2 linked regions of the Mytilus edulis genome follow. The protein of the gene in region 1 purifies or fractionates together with the protein of each later gene. This does not show direct contact. Links are inferred from orthologs where the notes say so. Each region holds a gene or a part of one and is shown on either strand. Other genes may lie near its edges.

What was found. The genes of interacting proteins can lie anywhere in the genome.
Region 2: the proteins of E3 ubiquitin-protein ligase MYCBP2-like (region 1) and F-box/SPRY domain-containing protein 1-like purify together in Caenorhabditis elegans (affinity purification with western blotting; 3 studies listed by BioGRID). This does not show direct contact. The link is inferred for Mytilus edulis from reciprocal best matches to the Caenorhabditis elegans genes rpm-1 and fsn-1.

The regions. Positions count from the first base shown.
Region 1 is NC_092351.1:37,259,824-37,268,420, reverse strand, and holds the start of E3 ubiquitin-protein ligase MYCBP2-like, read left to right. Parts: upstream 1-4,812; 5' UTR 4,813-4,954; coding exon 4,955-5,076; intron 5,077-7,832; coding exon 7,833-7,899; intron 7,900-8,597. Other genes in the region: uncharacterized protein, read left to right, coding at 1,096-1,545.
Region 2 is NC_092346.1:53,775,653-53,784,615, reverse strand, and holds the start of F-box/SPRY domain-containing protein 1-like, read right to left. Parts: upstream 3,470-8,963; 5' UTR 3,432-3,469; coding exon 2,856-3,431; intron 838-2,855; coding exon 762-837; intron 1-761. UniProt on the Caenorhabditis elegans protein: Component of a SCF (SKP1-CUL1-F-box protein) E3 ubiquitin ligase complex which is required for the restriction and/or maturation of synapses in GABAergic neuromuscular junction (NMJ) presynaptic neurons.

The sequences.
Region 1 (8,597 bases):
CTACACCATGAAGGACATAAAAATTAGTACCAACGGAGTCCACAAATTGTTAAAAAACCTGAAACCGCATAAAGCTACTGGTCCCGACTCAATACCAGCCTTTATACTGAAAACAGCAGCAGAACAACTTGCTCCGATACTCACAGACCTATACCAAACATCATTGAACACTGGTGAAGTCCCGCAAGATTGGAGAGATGCCTATGTAGTTCCACTTTTTAAAAAAGACGAAAGGCACCTAGCATCTAACTACAGACCAGTATCTCTAACTTCCATCACGTGTAAGGTCTTAGAACATATTGTACATAGCAACATCATGGACCACTTTGACAAAAATAAAATACTAACTGATGCACAACACGGATTCCGCAAAAGACGATCATGCGAATCCCAACTAATCGTAACCATCAACGACATTGCATCAAAATTAAAAAGCAGCGGCCAAGTAGACATCATCCTGCTAGACTTTGCAAACGCATTTGACAAGGTACCACATCACCGCCTCCTACACAAGCTGGAATACTATTGCGTCAACCCCAAAACCAATAAATGGATTCGCTCCTTCCTTACATAACAGAAAGCAGAGCGTGATATTAGAGGGTGGGTGCTGTCTCCTCACAAGTACCAGTACTCTCTGGTGTACCCCAAGGCACAGTCCTTGGTCCATTACTGTTCCTGGCCTACATAAACGACATGCCAGAAACAGCATCTACATCAGAGACCAAATTGTTCGCGGATGACAGCCTTCTCTTTCGTACCATCACCAACCAAGCTGACAGTGAACTACTTCAAAAGGACTTAACAGCATTGGAAGACTGGGAAAACAAATGGCAGATGAGTTTTAATGCCAAAAAATGCCTTGTCATCAGAATATCCCCAAAAAATAGACCAGTGATACAAACATCGTACCAGCTACACGGTCATACTCTAGACACAGAGGAAGCAAGTAAATATCTTGGAGTAACCATCAGCAACAACCTAACCTGGGATAAACACATAGACAATACAGTAGGCAAAGGAAACAGAACGTTGTGATTTATACGTAGAAACCTCAAAGGCTGTACAAAACATGTAAAGGCAGCTGCGTATGTATCCATGGTAAGACCTGCAGTGGAATACGCAAGCACAATATGGGACCCAACAACCCAAAATAAAATCAAGGCAATTGAACAGGTACAGAAAAGAGCTGCACGATTTGTGAATAACAACTACACAGACCGAACACCTGGCTGTGTCACAAATATGGTTAAAAATCTTAAATGGGAAAGTTTCGAAGAACGGAGGAAAACAAATAGATTATGCATGCTATTTAAGATCCAGCATGATCTTATAGATATAGACCGTCACCAATATTTGACACCGAATGATAACCGGACCAAAGGTAAAAACCGCTTTTTCCAAGAAAGAACAAGTACAGACACTTACGGCCAATCTTTCTTCCCGAGGACAATCAGGGACTGGAACAACCTACCAACAACAGTTACAGCGACCAACACCGTTGAGGGATTCAGAGCTGCCCTGAAGGCATGCTCTGAAAGGAAGTAGGAAAACCCAGTTGTAAATAATTTTAATTGTATATTTTTGCGAACGTTTTAAATGTATTTGTAAATAGCCAAGAGAAAGCTTTCTGTGTTGCCCGACACTGCGTAAAGTTTTCGCTCGGAACCATGAACATTCAGTATTGAATCCGGTTCCTTACCTGGAAGAAGAAGAAGAAACGATGATAGTCCGTCGGAAGGGGACGATAAATGGCTGACCCGTGTTAAGAGAGAGCCATATCTCTTTCACATTAAAGACACCCTTGTAGATTTCGAAAAAGAGCAGGCTAATGCCGCTACAAGGCAGCACTCGCACCCGCAAAGTGGAAAGGGATTAATATAAGTTGCAAAACTTGTTTCCCAATCCTGTATAAATAAATATGTTTAAACTAAACTAAACTAAAGCATTACGAGTCGATGGTTACTTCGTCTGTTAGCTAGTGGTTCCCATCCTAGTTTCTTGACCATAGTTGTCACACATCCAGGTGTTTTATCGGTGTAGTTGTTTGTTACAAACCTGGCGGCCATCCTTTGCACTTGTTCTAAGCGGTTTATGTCCTCGGTGGTATGAGAGTCCCATGCCGCACTTGCATATTCTAGTGTTGGTCTGACCAGAGAGATATAGGCTGCATTTCGTATATTCTTGCTGCATTCTCGACGGTTGCGCCTAAGGAATCCGAGGGATTTGGATGCTTTTTTGGCAGTGACGTCAACATGATGTTTCCATTGTAGGTCCTCACTGAAATTTACTCCTAGATATTTGCTGGTTGGTACAGTTTCGAGAGTGTGGTCATATAATTTATAGTATGTCTCTTTTGGGGATTTACTGTTGGTGCTAATGCGGATGAAGGTGAGTTTTTCTGGGTGGAATTTCATCTGCCATTTGGTTTCCCAGTCTTCTAGTGCTGAAAGATCCTGTTTTAGTTTGGCTTCGTACTGGGAATTTGTTAATAACTACTAAGAAGAGTAAGGAACCTAACACAGTCCCTTGTGGGACACCTGAAAGTACGTCTCCCAGTGTTTACTTACAGCCCTCAACTACCACTTGTTTTTTCCTGTTTTCTTAGAAAGAATATTGTATCCATTTCAGGTTTTCGTCTCTAATGCCATAGTGGTTCAGTTTGTTGAGTAATCTGCAGTGTGGGACTTTGTCAAAAGCATTAGCAAATATAAAAAAGAAAATGTGGTATAATTGCCAATGAGACAACTGTCCGCCACAAGAGACCAAAATGACACAGACATTAACAACTATAGGTCACCGTACGGCCTTCAACAATGAGCAAAGCTCATATCGCATAGTCAGCTATAAAAGGCCCCGATAAGACAATTAAATGTAAAATAATTCAAACGAGAAAACTAACGGCCTTAATTATTTATATATAAAAAAAAAAGCAGACGAAAAACAAATATGTAACACATAAACAAACGACAACCACTGAATTACAGGCTCCTGACTTGGGATAGGCACATACATAAATAATGTGGCGGGGTTAAACATGTTAGCGGGATCCCAACCCTCTCCCTAACCTGGGACAGTGGTATAACAGTACAACATAAAAACGAACTATAAAAATCAGTTGAAAAAGGCTTAACTCATCAGATGGACAAAAATACAAGTGGACGTGGCCGGATCGAGTAAGATTACATCCACTTGATCTTTCCCTGATTTCAGTTGTTTGGCAATTCCTTCTATTGTTGAAATTAGTTGTGTCTCACAGGATCTATACGAGCTTTGAATCCAGGCTGACTGTCTGTCAAGATGTGATGTTTTTCCAAAAATGTGATGACTGAACTGTGGATGATATGTTCGAGAACTTTGCATGAAATAGAAAATAGCGAAACTGGTCGATAATTTACTGCTATATGATTTTCTCTTTTTTTTTAATAGTTGGACTAACTAGTGTTTCTTCTGTCAAGCCGTTTGGTATTTCACCGTTGTCAATGGTGGTTTGGTAAAGACGGGAAAGGATGGGAGCCATCTCATTTGCTGCATTTTTAAGTATTAGTGCTGAAATGTTTCCTGGTCATGTTGCTTTGTGTTGTATAAGGTTCTTTAACAGCTTGTATACTCCATTTTTGTTTAGCGGTTGATTTTACCCATGGTGGGATAACGGCTTGGGCCTTTGTTTGGTATACTAGTCATGTCTTCTTTAGTATAGACCGATTGAAATTGGTCGTTTAAAGTTTCAGCCTTTTGAGAGCTTTCACTATGTAAAAAATCCGTCTTTGTTGGTAAGGCAGAAACACCTGATGACTCTTGTTTCTTACTTTTTACATATGTGTAGAAGCGCTTAGGATTTTCTCTGAAGTCATTGCTGACAACATCTTGGGTGTAGTTTCTATGAGCTTTTCTTGTCTCCTTTTGGGTGTTTGCTTTTAGTCTTTTGTACTTTTTCCAGTCGATTGGGTTATTAGCACGTTTAGCTTTGGAGTGAGCTCTTTGTTTTCTTCTCATTGCTCTTCTTATCTGGGTGTTTCTACCCATGGATGTGTGTGTCTGTTCGTTGTTTGTTTTGTTGGTACATGATTTTCGATAAGATGTTACAGGATAGGATTGTTTTAATTGTCTTCCAAATGGCCTCCACTGTCTGGTCCTTGATTGACAGAATTGTTCACCAAAGTTCTTAAGAGAAATTTTAATTGCTTTCATGTTAGCTTTTTTCCAAAAGAAAATCTTTCCTCGTATTGGCTTTACTTGATTTGGTTGTATATTTGTGTCGTACAGTACTATATCATACATACATCCTGTACATAAAATTCAAGTTGTTTATTTTAAAATACCCAAAACATGTTGTTGAGGTGTGACTGTGTTTGACTTCGAATCTTACTGCATGATTGGCGGAGCTCCTAAAACAGGCGGAAAGTACAGAATAGGTAATAAGTAAACAGTGGTGTTGGTCAAATAGGTGACTCTTGAAAAATAGTTATCGAGGATAAAAAAACCCATAACTGTTGATTATAATTATGTACAAATATATTCTATAAACAGTGAAAAAAGACGATTTATAAGGGTTTTTTTCTAGTCGGAACGAGTTCTTGTATTCTCCGGCATAGTTCTATTTTTAATAGCATTTATACAATTTCCCTAAAAAACGAATTTATAGATGACCAAAAAACAATATTTTTGGGGGTATAAAATTTTAAAATCTGCTTAACAAATGAATAAAAATAAATAAAAAATTGAATTTATGTATATTTAAATTAGTTACCGACAAGATATAACAAGTTTTAGGAATACAGTATTTTATTCGTTTATTCTTGCTGCTACAAGATTATTGTGCAATTTGTCTTCACCAAATTAAACCAAATGGAAAATGAAAATGGAAGAAAATCGAAAGTTGATTTTTAAAAGCTTTTTCGAATTACAACTGTTGCTTAATCCTCAAACTCGTCAGTAGCAGCGAACTACAGAAAAGATGAGTGCGAAGGTGTTGCCTTCGTCTAGGAGCGAATTGGACATTTACCTGAAGGGAAATGAATTGAGGACGAAATTTCATGACTTGTTTGATGCATATCACATTTCTCAGGCTGACAATAAGTAAATAACTCAATTGATTAAAAAATGGGTTTAACGCAGGTTAAAGAATGATCTGTTTGTATCTGGTGTTTGTTGAATCTTGATCTTTTATTTTGCTTTAATATGAGGCAGGCATTACCTGTAAATGGGGACGAAGTCTATATGAATTATTTTTTTGTAACTTAAATATTTGTTTAAAAAAAGAAACGAAAATACCGTAACGTTTCCGATTTTGGTTCTGTTGTAAGGGATTTTAGTTGTGACGTTATTTAAATTATGACGTCATGTGCAATGTAAACGCTATCATCAGGTAACGTTTTTTCATATCAAAGAATTATTATAAATGAAATTGGTATTGCACGTTCCTTCCTATTTTATACTAGACTGATAAATATATATTTTACTCAAAGTTTCATACAAACGAGACCGGAAAAAGGAAGTACATTGTACATTTCTGTACAGGTCCGGGATTTCAAAACATGACAAAAAAAAATTGAACAATTTTGAGTTCATTACTACAATGAGAAATTTTCCCGAATTTTTTTTTTATTGAATTTTCTACTGTTATTGGGGACTTCGTCCCCATAATATCCTCACAGGGCTTTCCATTGAAACTGAAGTAGAAGGCTCAATTAAAATTATAGGCGGCTGTAACATGCGTTCTGCGCAGCATTGCCCACCTACAGCTTGGTGCCTTACGGCAGGGGGGTCTGGGGGCCGCTCAAGGCCCCAGAAGCTCTGGCATAAATAGAGCAAAATCCTGCATTCTCGCAATCTCCTGGCACCTAATTTCATCTTTCAAATGACCATTTTTTATGTATGAAATTAAAGAAGGAAAAAAAAATCTCAAAGAAATTTCATTTATTTTTATGTTATAGTTTTTTATTTTCATTACCTTATGCTTAAAATTCATTTACTTTTAAAGGAGATTTATTTATATAATAATACGGTTTGTTAAAAATCTTGATCGATTTATTTTGCAGAACTACGTGCATTTGTAAACAAATGACCCCCCTTTCTCTCTAAAGACTGTTACGCGTAACTAAATCATACAATTATTTCTCAAGCATTGACAGAAAATTGATATATCCTCTGATTTTCTCTTTTTTTGTAAACTGTTCAATAAGTCGGATACATAAATCATTTGAAAATGTTATTTATTTGAGGTCGAGGCCACAATATTCTACTTTCGTTTTTGACCTTGATTCTCTGAACACCACGTGGACTTTGAAAAATGAATTTCAAAAGATACTGTTTTCCAGATTCTGAACAATATGATCTACTACACTTTCTTTAATTTGACTGATATTATTCCATAACATAAGATTGTCATCCTATTTGATTGTCTTCATGTTTTTAAAGTAAAAAAAAGCAAACGAGTTAATGACCATCGGAACGTCTCTATTGTTATCCTTCAATGACCACCGGAACGTCTCTCTTGTTATCTTTGAAAAGAAACGATGCATTCTGACTTTAAATAGACAACCAATCAGTGACCTGAATTCATGTGAACTATATTTAGCCCAAGGTAAACACTGACTTTTCATCCTTGTTTATCGTGACCGCGACTTTGCGGAAATACGTCTCTCGGCTGCCTGTAAACATTTGAAAAAGATTTTTTTTTTCTTTTTGAATTTATATTTTTGTCAGTGAAGAAGCCGGCACTTGAAGCCACTGTAAACGGCGGATTTCCGCCTGCTACCGGCTTCAATGGAAAGCCCTGTCCTCGTACTTTTTATGACCCATCCGTATCAGAGGGCCATCAAGTTTTACCCTCGTCTGTCTGTACTCTGTACTTGTGTCCCAAAATTGGTTTCCGTTTCTAACTAAAGTTCACATCAACAAAATGTTATGAAATTTATACACAATGGTAAAAGCTGATTACCACAAAACATTGATCACGTTTGAATTTGGGTAACATCACTTTTACCATGAGACATGATTCTAGCATGTCTAGAGTTCAGTTCTGGAAATCTCTGAATTCGGTAACATTAACAAAATTGGTAACAGTTTCCAAATTAATTAACTGAACCTTTAACAAAGTTGTTAACTTCAGTGTTTATTTGGTTTTTGGCATTTATAAATAAAAAATGGCATGCTGGGAACAATTTCAGACGGAACTATGGACAAATTTCTAGAGTTCTGCCTGATAAAATTAAAATCTATGCAGGGGTTGATGAAAACGCAAATGATCCAAAATCCATATAATTTTTATATGTATCTTTTAAAGCAAAAATGAAATAAACACAGAAGTTAAAGAATTTGTTGATAATTTAGTTAATATAGTTGGTAACTGTTACAAAATTCGTTAACGTTACAAAATTCATAGATTTCTAGAACTGGGTTATGCCCATTTACAAATGAAAAAAGAGCTAAATTGTTTTTGTACCCATTCTCTTACTCGGATTTGCCTCAAGTATATGTTATAATCATATACATGTACACACTTGATCTTAACTCAAAACACAGATTAAGTACAAAATTGGGAAGCGTCACTTTTACCATTATTGAATTATGTCTCGTTATAATCTTATATGCAAGCGGGGGCATCTTTTGTGTCCCATGGACACATTTTTAATTTGTTGGTTATAAGATACAAATTTACAGCAATTTTTTTGCTTCTAAAGGATTGTGATAGCTTTTTGGAAATTTGTCCCAAGTGAATCTGTCCTGCTTGAACTGCATATATTATATATTGAAACTAACAATACAAGCAATACAATAAAATCTTATTTACTAATAATCTTCTCATTTACTTTCAATAATTTTTTTATCAGAAAGAAACAAGAAAAGAAGAAGGCAAAGAAGAGATCAAAATCAAAATCTAAAGAAAAAAAATCTAAGGTAAGTTTCTCAGATAGAACCACTAACTACTGTTCTCCAGTGGCAGGTTTACATTACTGTACCAGGTTTTCGGAAGGGTTGAGTGCTCATATACATGTTTAATCCAACCACATTCCTCCTTGTATAGTGTAAGTACGTGTATATTGCTCAAACAGATGATTTTATTTTTGGTGTAGCTAATACCAAAAATGCAATCTGGAGAGATTATTTGCTTGAATGTAACATTGGGACAAATTAATTATGGTGCAAATGAAACACAAATCCAATTGAGCAAAGTTTGCAAGTCTTCATCAATTACACTTCAGTACAACTATTTCCTCAAACTGTCACAGTTATTGTAGCTTAACAGATTAAGCTCACTAACTACTTATCCTCTGAAAAATTTCAAATAAACATTGTTGCTGAAATAGATTGTCTCACAAAAAATTCAGACTAGTTAACATACATACTGTTGTAGAAAAGGCTTCTTACACCACTGTCTTGGGTTTGGCAAGTGTTGGCCCCCGCTACATTTCCAAGGTTTGCAGTCTGTTATTTAGTAGTTTGTTTCTGTATGACATAATTATTTTGTACATAAATATGGTCCTTACCTTTCTCGTTTGAATTGTTTTACAATTGTCATTTCGGGGCCTATTTTAGCTGACTATGCTGTATGGGCTTTTCTCATTGTTGAAGGCCATACAGTTACCTATTGTTAA
Region 2 (8,963 bases), on another chromosome or scaffold:
GTTGTTTTGTTTTTAAAACAATAAAGGCACAGTTTCTAGTATGAATTCATATTTCCTTAAAAAAAATCTGTTGTTTTTGTAGGTGACACTTTACAATAAATACCAAACACCAAATAACTCGTACACATTTCTTCCAGCGGTCAGATGCATTCTCATTTCAACTAAAGAAGCCATAAGAAGAATTCTTAAATACATCCCCTACTCCTCCCATCGGTTTAAAGTAATTGACTGTTAATGTCAAATGCAACTATCAATACTTTTTACTTATTAGGGTTCTCTAAATTAATGAAACATTGAAATCAAGCCATGAATGTGTCTATTTCTTGGAAAACATGTTGAAGGTTAAGCATTTCAGTTTTTCATGTATATGAATGTTACAAAATGTGTCCATTCTTAATCATGACATTTACCATCTCTTACAGGTTTTACAGCTTGTAGCTTTAGTTAGCAACACATTAAGATAATTAACAAGATGAAGCGCTGACTTACTACACTACCACAGTGGCACTATAGGTACTTGCTATTTAGGTTAAGACACAATACTGAGTATAACATGCTCCCATGATGCTCAATGTGAGGAAGCTCTGATTTGTAGTTTCTGATAAACGCTTAAAAATGTATTGGGGAAGACAAATGTACATGATGTATATAGCAATATACAATATACCCCAACATCCTAGAGTGAACTTAATGCGCTTGCATTGTTAAAGTTATGTTTAAAATTAGATTGATTAAGCAAGCGATGATAAACTAAAAATTACCTAAAAATTCATAATTCTTTTCAAACGCTAATGTATTATCTTCACAATCAAGTATTACTCTTATTCTTTCTCCAACCTAAAATAAACAAATATTTAAATAAAACAATTTAATAAAAACAAACTTGAATTTATAGCAAGTTCAGTCAAACTCTGAAAAGTACATATAAATATGTATCCATCTATAGTAACAATATTTATATCTTTGGTTAAAAAATGTATGAAGGTACTGCCTTTTTCTAGCATGTCTAGGTAAATTAATTAGACACTGTATCAAATATCCCATTTTTTAAATGCAATTTTGTTAAAATTTACATTATTACATTCATGACATTGTGGCCACATTTCTTCAAATTGTCCTAAAAAATATCATCATTGTTTACATGCTTATTGTTAAAGACCATACAGTGACCCATGGTTGTTAATATAAGTGTCATTTGGTCTCTTGTGAAGTTTTGTGTCATTGGCAATCATATTACATTTTTATGCTAAACGTTCAAAATAAGGAATAGTTATGGCATAAAAGTAATGAGTTCATCCTTCATATTTTTTTGGCAATTTAAACCTTTTTAGTTTATATGTTATACATGTGGCCTGGGATAAAAAAAATCCACAATTTTAGTATATCCTGTCTTTCAGTTGTTGACTAAAACAACTTTTGTTGAGTGCCTTTTTGCAAATCCATGAACATTTTCTTTTTTATCTTGATGTCAATTTCGCATTTCCCATTTTTGAAAATCATACACAGACTAAAATTTAGTACACTATTCCTATCCAACAGTACATGTCTAATATTTATTAGAATGCTCATGGGCCAGAATGTGCATATTTTCATCTGTGTATGTAATATAAAAAGTAGTTTTAATAATTTGAGTAATGAGGAAATTTTTTTTTATGTTTCATGATGACAGAGTTTGTTATTTTAGTCAAAATCTGCCATGAAGTACCTTTTAAGAGAAAGTGTACTTTATATTTGTAATACATGTAAGTGTATATAATGTTGTTTATTTTTTTGTATAAATAAATTGTTTTCAATAGTATCACGTGGTGTTTCATGCCAAGATATATTGCATGTATTGATAAATGTTATACATGTAGATTTAATATAAATGTATTTTAATGTGTGTTTTTACAGTATCTCATAACTCTTTTTAGAGTGGCTCTTTTATAAATTGATCTGATAGTGATAATAATATATTGTGTTTTATATCAAATGTTTCAAAGAAGTGAGACTCTAATAAATTATTTGTTTGTTTGTTATTTGCTTCAGATTTTTTTTGTTATTTTATACTGTTGTTCAAATACATGCATCTTATTTTTCTTTACAGTGAGTGTACATGTACAAACATGACAAATGTATGCTTCTTACCATCTATATATTTAACTCATCTATGGATACTAGGTTTAAATCCACTCTATTAACTGTATCATATACATTTGTACATTTTGCAGATGATTAATTTTTAACTAATTACCAGTGATAGTAATTGCACACCCTGAATGGCATGTATGTTTATCGTAGATTTGTACATACATACATGTATATTTCGAAAATTACTATTGGTTTTGTCTTGACATTATTTTTTTAGGGGTGGGGTGGTAGTTTAGATCTGCTTTTCATGCTTTTAGGCATGTTACTAAGACATAAAAATGAAACAAATAAAAATTAACTCATTTATACCCTTAAAATACAAAGTTTCATGTTATTCGTTTTATAAAAATCAAGTAAGAAGTACTGACATTGTCAGTTTATTTTCAATTTGTATTTGTGAGTTTGATATTCTTTTTTCCATTTTTCTACATTTTTACCATTTTTACTGAAATGTGTTGCAGTATTTATGTATTTCTATACAATGCCATACTATTTCTTGCCCCGAAAAATAGATTAAACAGTGTTTGTGCTTATAAAACAGTGTCTATTGTCTTGTCATCTATATGTACAGCTGATGTTGAGATGCTCTTTACATGTTAAATATCTTTAAACAAAAGATAATTTTTTTTAACTGGCTGAAATTCTGACGCATAATGGAATGTGTTGCTTGTGTATACATATATAGTAGCCCAGTAGGTAAATGCTATTGCTAATTAATATCACACCTGATAGGTTGGAGCATTATTTAATGTAGGATAATTGCCTTGACTATCGCCATTGTGTATCAGGTGATTGTCAACTAAATTCCATCCCCAGCTCTGATCGTCTCCTCCTAATAAACTGACATATCCTATATTATGTAATGAAGCTTTTTTAGTTGCTAATCCAATCACAGCTACTGTCCCTAAAGGTCCTTCCCACCACACTTCCCAACAATGTCGACCTGTCTTAAAACCTATTTTCCCTCTAGCTCCGTCCGTACTTTGAGCTACTGGATTTCTGTGAACTGTAAATCCGCCAGATTTCACTACAATGTTTTTTGAACAATCATTTAAATTCCAATTATGGAAAAATGCTCGCAGTTTCGCTTTATATGTTGGAACGTTTTTCAAAATGTCAGACTTTAGAACTTGTTCTGTCACTTTTCGTATGCAGTGAAACCGCCATACATCATTATTTTCATCGTTCAAAAACTTATACCATTTCTTACACACTAAGGAACATGTTCTTAAATCAGATATATTTAAATAGGAGAAAATTGATTCTAAAATCTGAGGAGGAAGGTTGGCTGCTGCAGCCATAACGGCGAGACATCCGGTCAATATAGCTACCAAAATGTGAGATACAATAAAATGGACAAATTGGTATTCTGTTTATTAGAATACCGACGATAGAATAAGGATCTGATATCTTTGTAGGTTACAATTATTAATAATTTTGATATTTGGAAATAGTAGCAACTTGTATAGCTACGTAAGGACACATTCATTTGTACGTTGCATTCTTATTTTTAACTTTTAGGTTTCTGATAAAATTTTAGCAATCACGTGTAAATTCATTCAACGAGATTCAAGATGTCTGCGCCCATGTTATGAAGAGAAAAAGTTAAAAATATGTTTAAAAACCAAGAAATATATTCGATACTGAAGAAAAGGTAGACAAAAATGCCACAACTTAACATAAATGTCATAGTTCCCTAAATGAAGGGCTCATGAGACACTGTTAAACGAATTATCATACTTTTTCATAGATAAATAAGATATTTTGCTAAAAAAAAAGGTTTTAAAAGTTTTTCTATTTATACAACTTATAATATCCCTATCCACCAAAAGGACTGGATATCTCAGATATTCCTGTTAAATTTTGACATCATAACAATTAATTGATTATTGAATGAAATCAATATTTCCAAGGGCCAGTGATGTCACTAAGTTTTGAAGAAGCAGGCTGAATTCCTAAAATAGGCGGCAAGTACATGCGGACGGCGAAGCCAATTCGCGTCGACGAGCTTGCTCGTCGCTACTACGGCGGGGGGTCTGGGGCCCGCTTAAGGGCCCCAGGATTTTTTTTTAAAATGGTGCAAAATCCTGCATTCTGGGGGTGTCCTAGACCCTTATTCAGACCTCTGAAAACATTATTTTTTACTGAAGATAATGTAAATGATTAACTAAAATTAGCAACATGATGGGAAAATTTTCTGTACATGACGTGATCACATCATTGATCATCTTGATGGACCAATATACATTTTTGTGCATTTTCCTGCAGGTTGACTGCTAGTAAATATTTTTGAACTGAAAGAATCCAAAAATCTTAGTTTGAATAGAAACATATTGTCTCTGGTTTGAATTGTCACTTGAATAATTTAGTTTTAAATGAAAATTGTAATTGTGACATTGAGAACATTGTTTTAATTTTATATTAAAAAAGTGTTGGTTTTGTTTTTACAAAATTAAAAAACAATATTCACTGACTAGTAGTCAGCTGGAGCTTCGATTTCAAAGTTAAAACTGTTACAGAGGTGCTATATTTTATAAAATCGTATGCTATCCCAAGGACGTATAACTGGGTCAGGATCCCTAATAGACCTTGAGATGAGGAACTCAGATGACGTAATTAAAAAAAATATTAGTCCGCCATACAATTGTGGATGCTGTGATTTTAAAAATGGACATAAATGAACAATAAGAACTGTTTTATAGAGCTGGTGTGATGAGAAAAGAAAGATGTAGATTTGACCTGAAATAAATTATTAGAAAGGACAATTTTTTTATTGAATTTTATGATCAGAATTTTGGGATTATTTCATGAGGAGAGTGACATTTTTCACCATCTTCCGGGGTCCATCAATTTGCGAAAAAAGTAATCTCACTTGCCACCCCGAAAATTTAACCATACATGTATAAATGTATCAGCTTCGATATGAGCCATCATACATGTTCAAGTAAACGATATGGACTGAGCAACGGAGGAAAACGTTACCATTACGGCCTATGGAGAATTAATTGTAAATGTATACCCAAATTAGAAGCTTAATTCCAGAAGTTTTCAGGCTGATTTATGGATGATTTCACCTTGTACACCACCGAAAATGATGGTTAGTAGTTTTTTATTTATACCTAGTTATTATAAATGGTTTAAGATAAATATTATTGATAAAGATCAGCAAAAACTCAATGAAACTTTGCTTTTAAAATGCATTACTGGCACGGGGCTGAACACTTTTTTTAGGCACAATCATAACTTTGTTTACTTCCGAGAGATCCGAAAGGAATTTGTTTACTATATTGAAAAAGGCAAGAAACAACTTTTAAATATTATTAAATTGTAAGTAAACATGACCCAATATAGTCTTTGTTATGTAATTATCACTTCGGTCTACAGGAATACCTGATAATCAAGGGAGATAACACACTTCATACGAGTAAAGTGAGATACATCATCGCATGTGCTTTTATCCAATGATTTGACCCCTGGTCAGTAGATATCATATGCAAAAAAACAGAAAAAACATGTACATGTAAATATTTTTAATGCACTTGAGCAAAACAATAGATATTGTCATTTCTCAGTGAAAAAGGGGGAGGGTCAAACCTTTTTGAAAACAATATTTCTGCACCTATTCAACTATTAAGCTAGTTAGCTACTACCCATTGCTTCTAAAATAAAAGGTTTAGATGAAGGTGACTAAGCCACAAGGGAGAAGCATTTGTCTTTCTTTGTGATTAAACTTTCAAGAATTAGATTTTTCTCTCTCAATAGTACTTATGTATTTAAATCAAATGATAACACAGCCTGAGTAATTTTTTTGTCTTATTTCAGTTCCAGACATATCATTACTTTTTAACCTGAGATGGCAAACTAGAGGTTTTAAAAAGTCCTGAATAACTGGTAAGCATTTGCTTTATTAGGCAAGCTCTAAATTGTTTATTTATGGTATTTATGCAATTGAAATTACAGTCGGTATGTTAAAAATATGCAAATATGAAAACTGTTGCTATGGTCTTGGTATTAAATGAAAAGGCTTAGTTACAGATCGTTTCGACTCAATATTTCGAGTTAAATCTTGCGGCAACTGTTTCTCACGTAACACTGCAAACTATATTTAGTTCTATTTTAATCTGTCGTTATTTAATGACGCCATAATACATGTGATGTCACAATGTTTCCTTTAAAACCTCATGTGGATTTCTCACTAATAAAAGGTTTTCACTGAAATACATGTTAAAAACATTTTTTCTCAAATAGAATTATGTGAAAGGACAAGTTTTGAAAATTTGCACTATATTGCACTCTAATTATATGATAAGGATGACTTTCCAAGTAGTTAAGAGTGCTTTCCACAGTTTTAAATACCAGATTTCCACTAGTAAGAATAATTATTTTGGTGTTGGTTTTTTTTATAAAATCTTCATTTTTGCATAATTTCTCTGTCAAAATGCACTTTAAGGCACAAGAAAATTTTATAGAATGCTTTAACAGGGTCTGTGTATTGTAATTAAAGGTTATAATCAGAAGTTTTGTCCTTGTTTTGACTAGTGAAGGTATTCTGGAAGAAATTAATTATACAAACACATTGTATTCAAAATAAATGAATATAGCGACGAAAGTGTCATTGCCGTATAGTGCTAAAACAACTTTATTTTTTTTCAGAAATGGACAAAAATACACAGATTTATTCAGAATGTTATACCGATGAAGATCACATAAAAATATTTGGAAAAATCAGAAGTATGAATTTCAATATGGGTCAGGATCCCTAATAGACCTTGAGATGAGGAACTCAGATGACGTAATTAAAAAAAATATTAGTCCGCCATACAATTGTGGATGCTGTGATTTTAAAAATGGACATAAATGAACAATAAGAACTGTTTTATAGAGCTGGTGTGATGAGAAAAGAAAGATGTAGATTTGACCTGAAATAAATTATTAGAAAGGACAATTTTTTTATTGAATTTTATGATCAGAATTTTGGGATTATTTCATGAGGAGAGTGACATTTTTCACCATCTTCCGGGGTCCATCAATTTGCGAAAAAAGTAATCTCACTTGCCACCCCGAAAATTTAACCATACATGTATAAATGTATCAGCTTCGATATGAGCCATCATACATGTTCAAGTAAACGATATGGACTGAGCAACGGAGGAAAACGTTACCATTACGGCCTATGGAGAATTAATTGTAAATGTATACCCAACTAACATAATATACGTCCTTGGCTATCCCCAAAAAGATTTGAAAATTTAGACTAAAATTCCTGCATTCTGAGCATACATTTTGTACCTGAGAGTGATTTAGATGCTTGGGAAAATGTTAATTTTGTCTTATTTTTGTTGTTGACTTCAATCACATTGATTTTTTTTTTAAATGAGAATCCGTAGTCCTGGCAAGGCTAATCTATATTATATTTTTTTCTGGGAAGGTGTCTTTTGTAAGACAACTAAGGAAGTCTGTTCTTGAATATATGTAAATAATACACAGGCACTTTACACAGGCAAGTGCCTGTGAAATAATAGGTGAAATATTATAATTTTATTTCAAAAATAATCGAATTTATTAAATATCTTGATCGATTTATTTGCGTACGTACTTAGTGACAAATGACCCCCTTTTTTCTCATATAAGACTTGTACACGTATTTCAAACATGTTGTCAAGCTATGTCGTTTTATTTTCTCTTATTTGTTAACTGTTCAGTAATCAGTAAACTAAAATCCTTTTGAACTATAAAAGATATTTTTAAAAATTATTTGTGGTCGACAATATTCTACTTTCGTTATTGACCTTCATTCTCTAGACACCACGTGGTCGTGGGCTTTGAAATGTGAACTTCAAAAGGTGCTGTTTTCCAGATTCTTGACAACATTATATATATTATACTTTCTTTTATTTGACTGATATATTAATTTCCATAACATGCTATATTGTCATCTTTGGCTTATTCCTTCTCTTGAAGCAAAAACCAAACAGGGTCATAATGTCCATCGGAACGTCTCTCTTTTTATCCTTGCAAACATTACAATACTTACCGACTTTAAATAGACGACCAATCAGCGGACTGCATTTACGTGAACTATATTTAGTCAAAGGTAAACACTGATTTACATCCTTGTTTATCGCGACTTTAATCGTGGAAGCTGATGCATTGAACAATTATTTTTTAATATTAACCTGATTATCTTTTTTATCTTATTAATTTTTTTTACTCATGCAAAAATAGCCGGCGGGAAAAGGACAATAACCGGCGAAAATCGCCGGCTGCCGGCTTCTAACGACATCACTGAGGGCACACAGGTTTATCGGTCACAATAATACTGGTTATATGAGGCAGGCATTACCTGTAAATGGCGACGAAGTCTGTATATTATTATTTTTTTGTAACTTAATATATGTTAAAAGAAAAGAAACGGAAATACCGTAACGTTTCCGATTTTGGTTCTGTTGTTAGGGATTTTAGTTGTGACGTTATTTAAGTTATGACGTCATATGCAATGTAAACAAAGAAACGCTATCATCAGGTTTATTTTTTCATATCAAGGAATCATTAAAAATGAAATTGGTATTGCGTTCCTTCCTATTTTATACTAGACTGATAAATATATACATTTGTATTTTACTCAAAGTTTCATACAAACAAGACTGGAAAAAGGAAGTACATTGTAGATGGTTGCGCAGATGCGGGAATTCAAAACATGACATAAAAAAGATTTGAACGATTTTGAGTTCATTAGTACAATAAAAATTTTGGGAAAATTTTCACATTTTTTTTTAATTTTTTTATTTTTCTACTGTTATTGGGAACTTTGTCCCCATATAAGCATTTTAGAC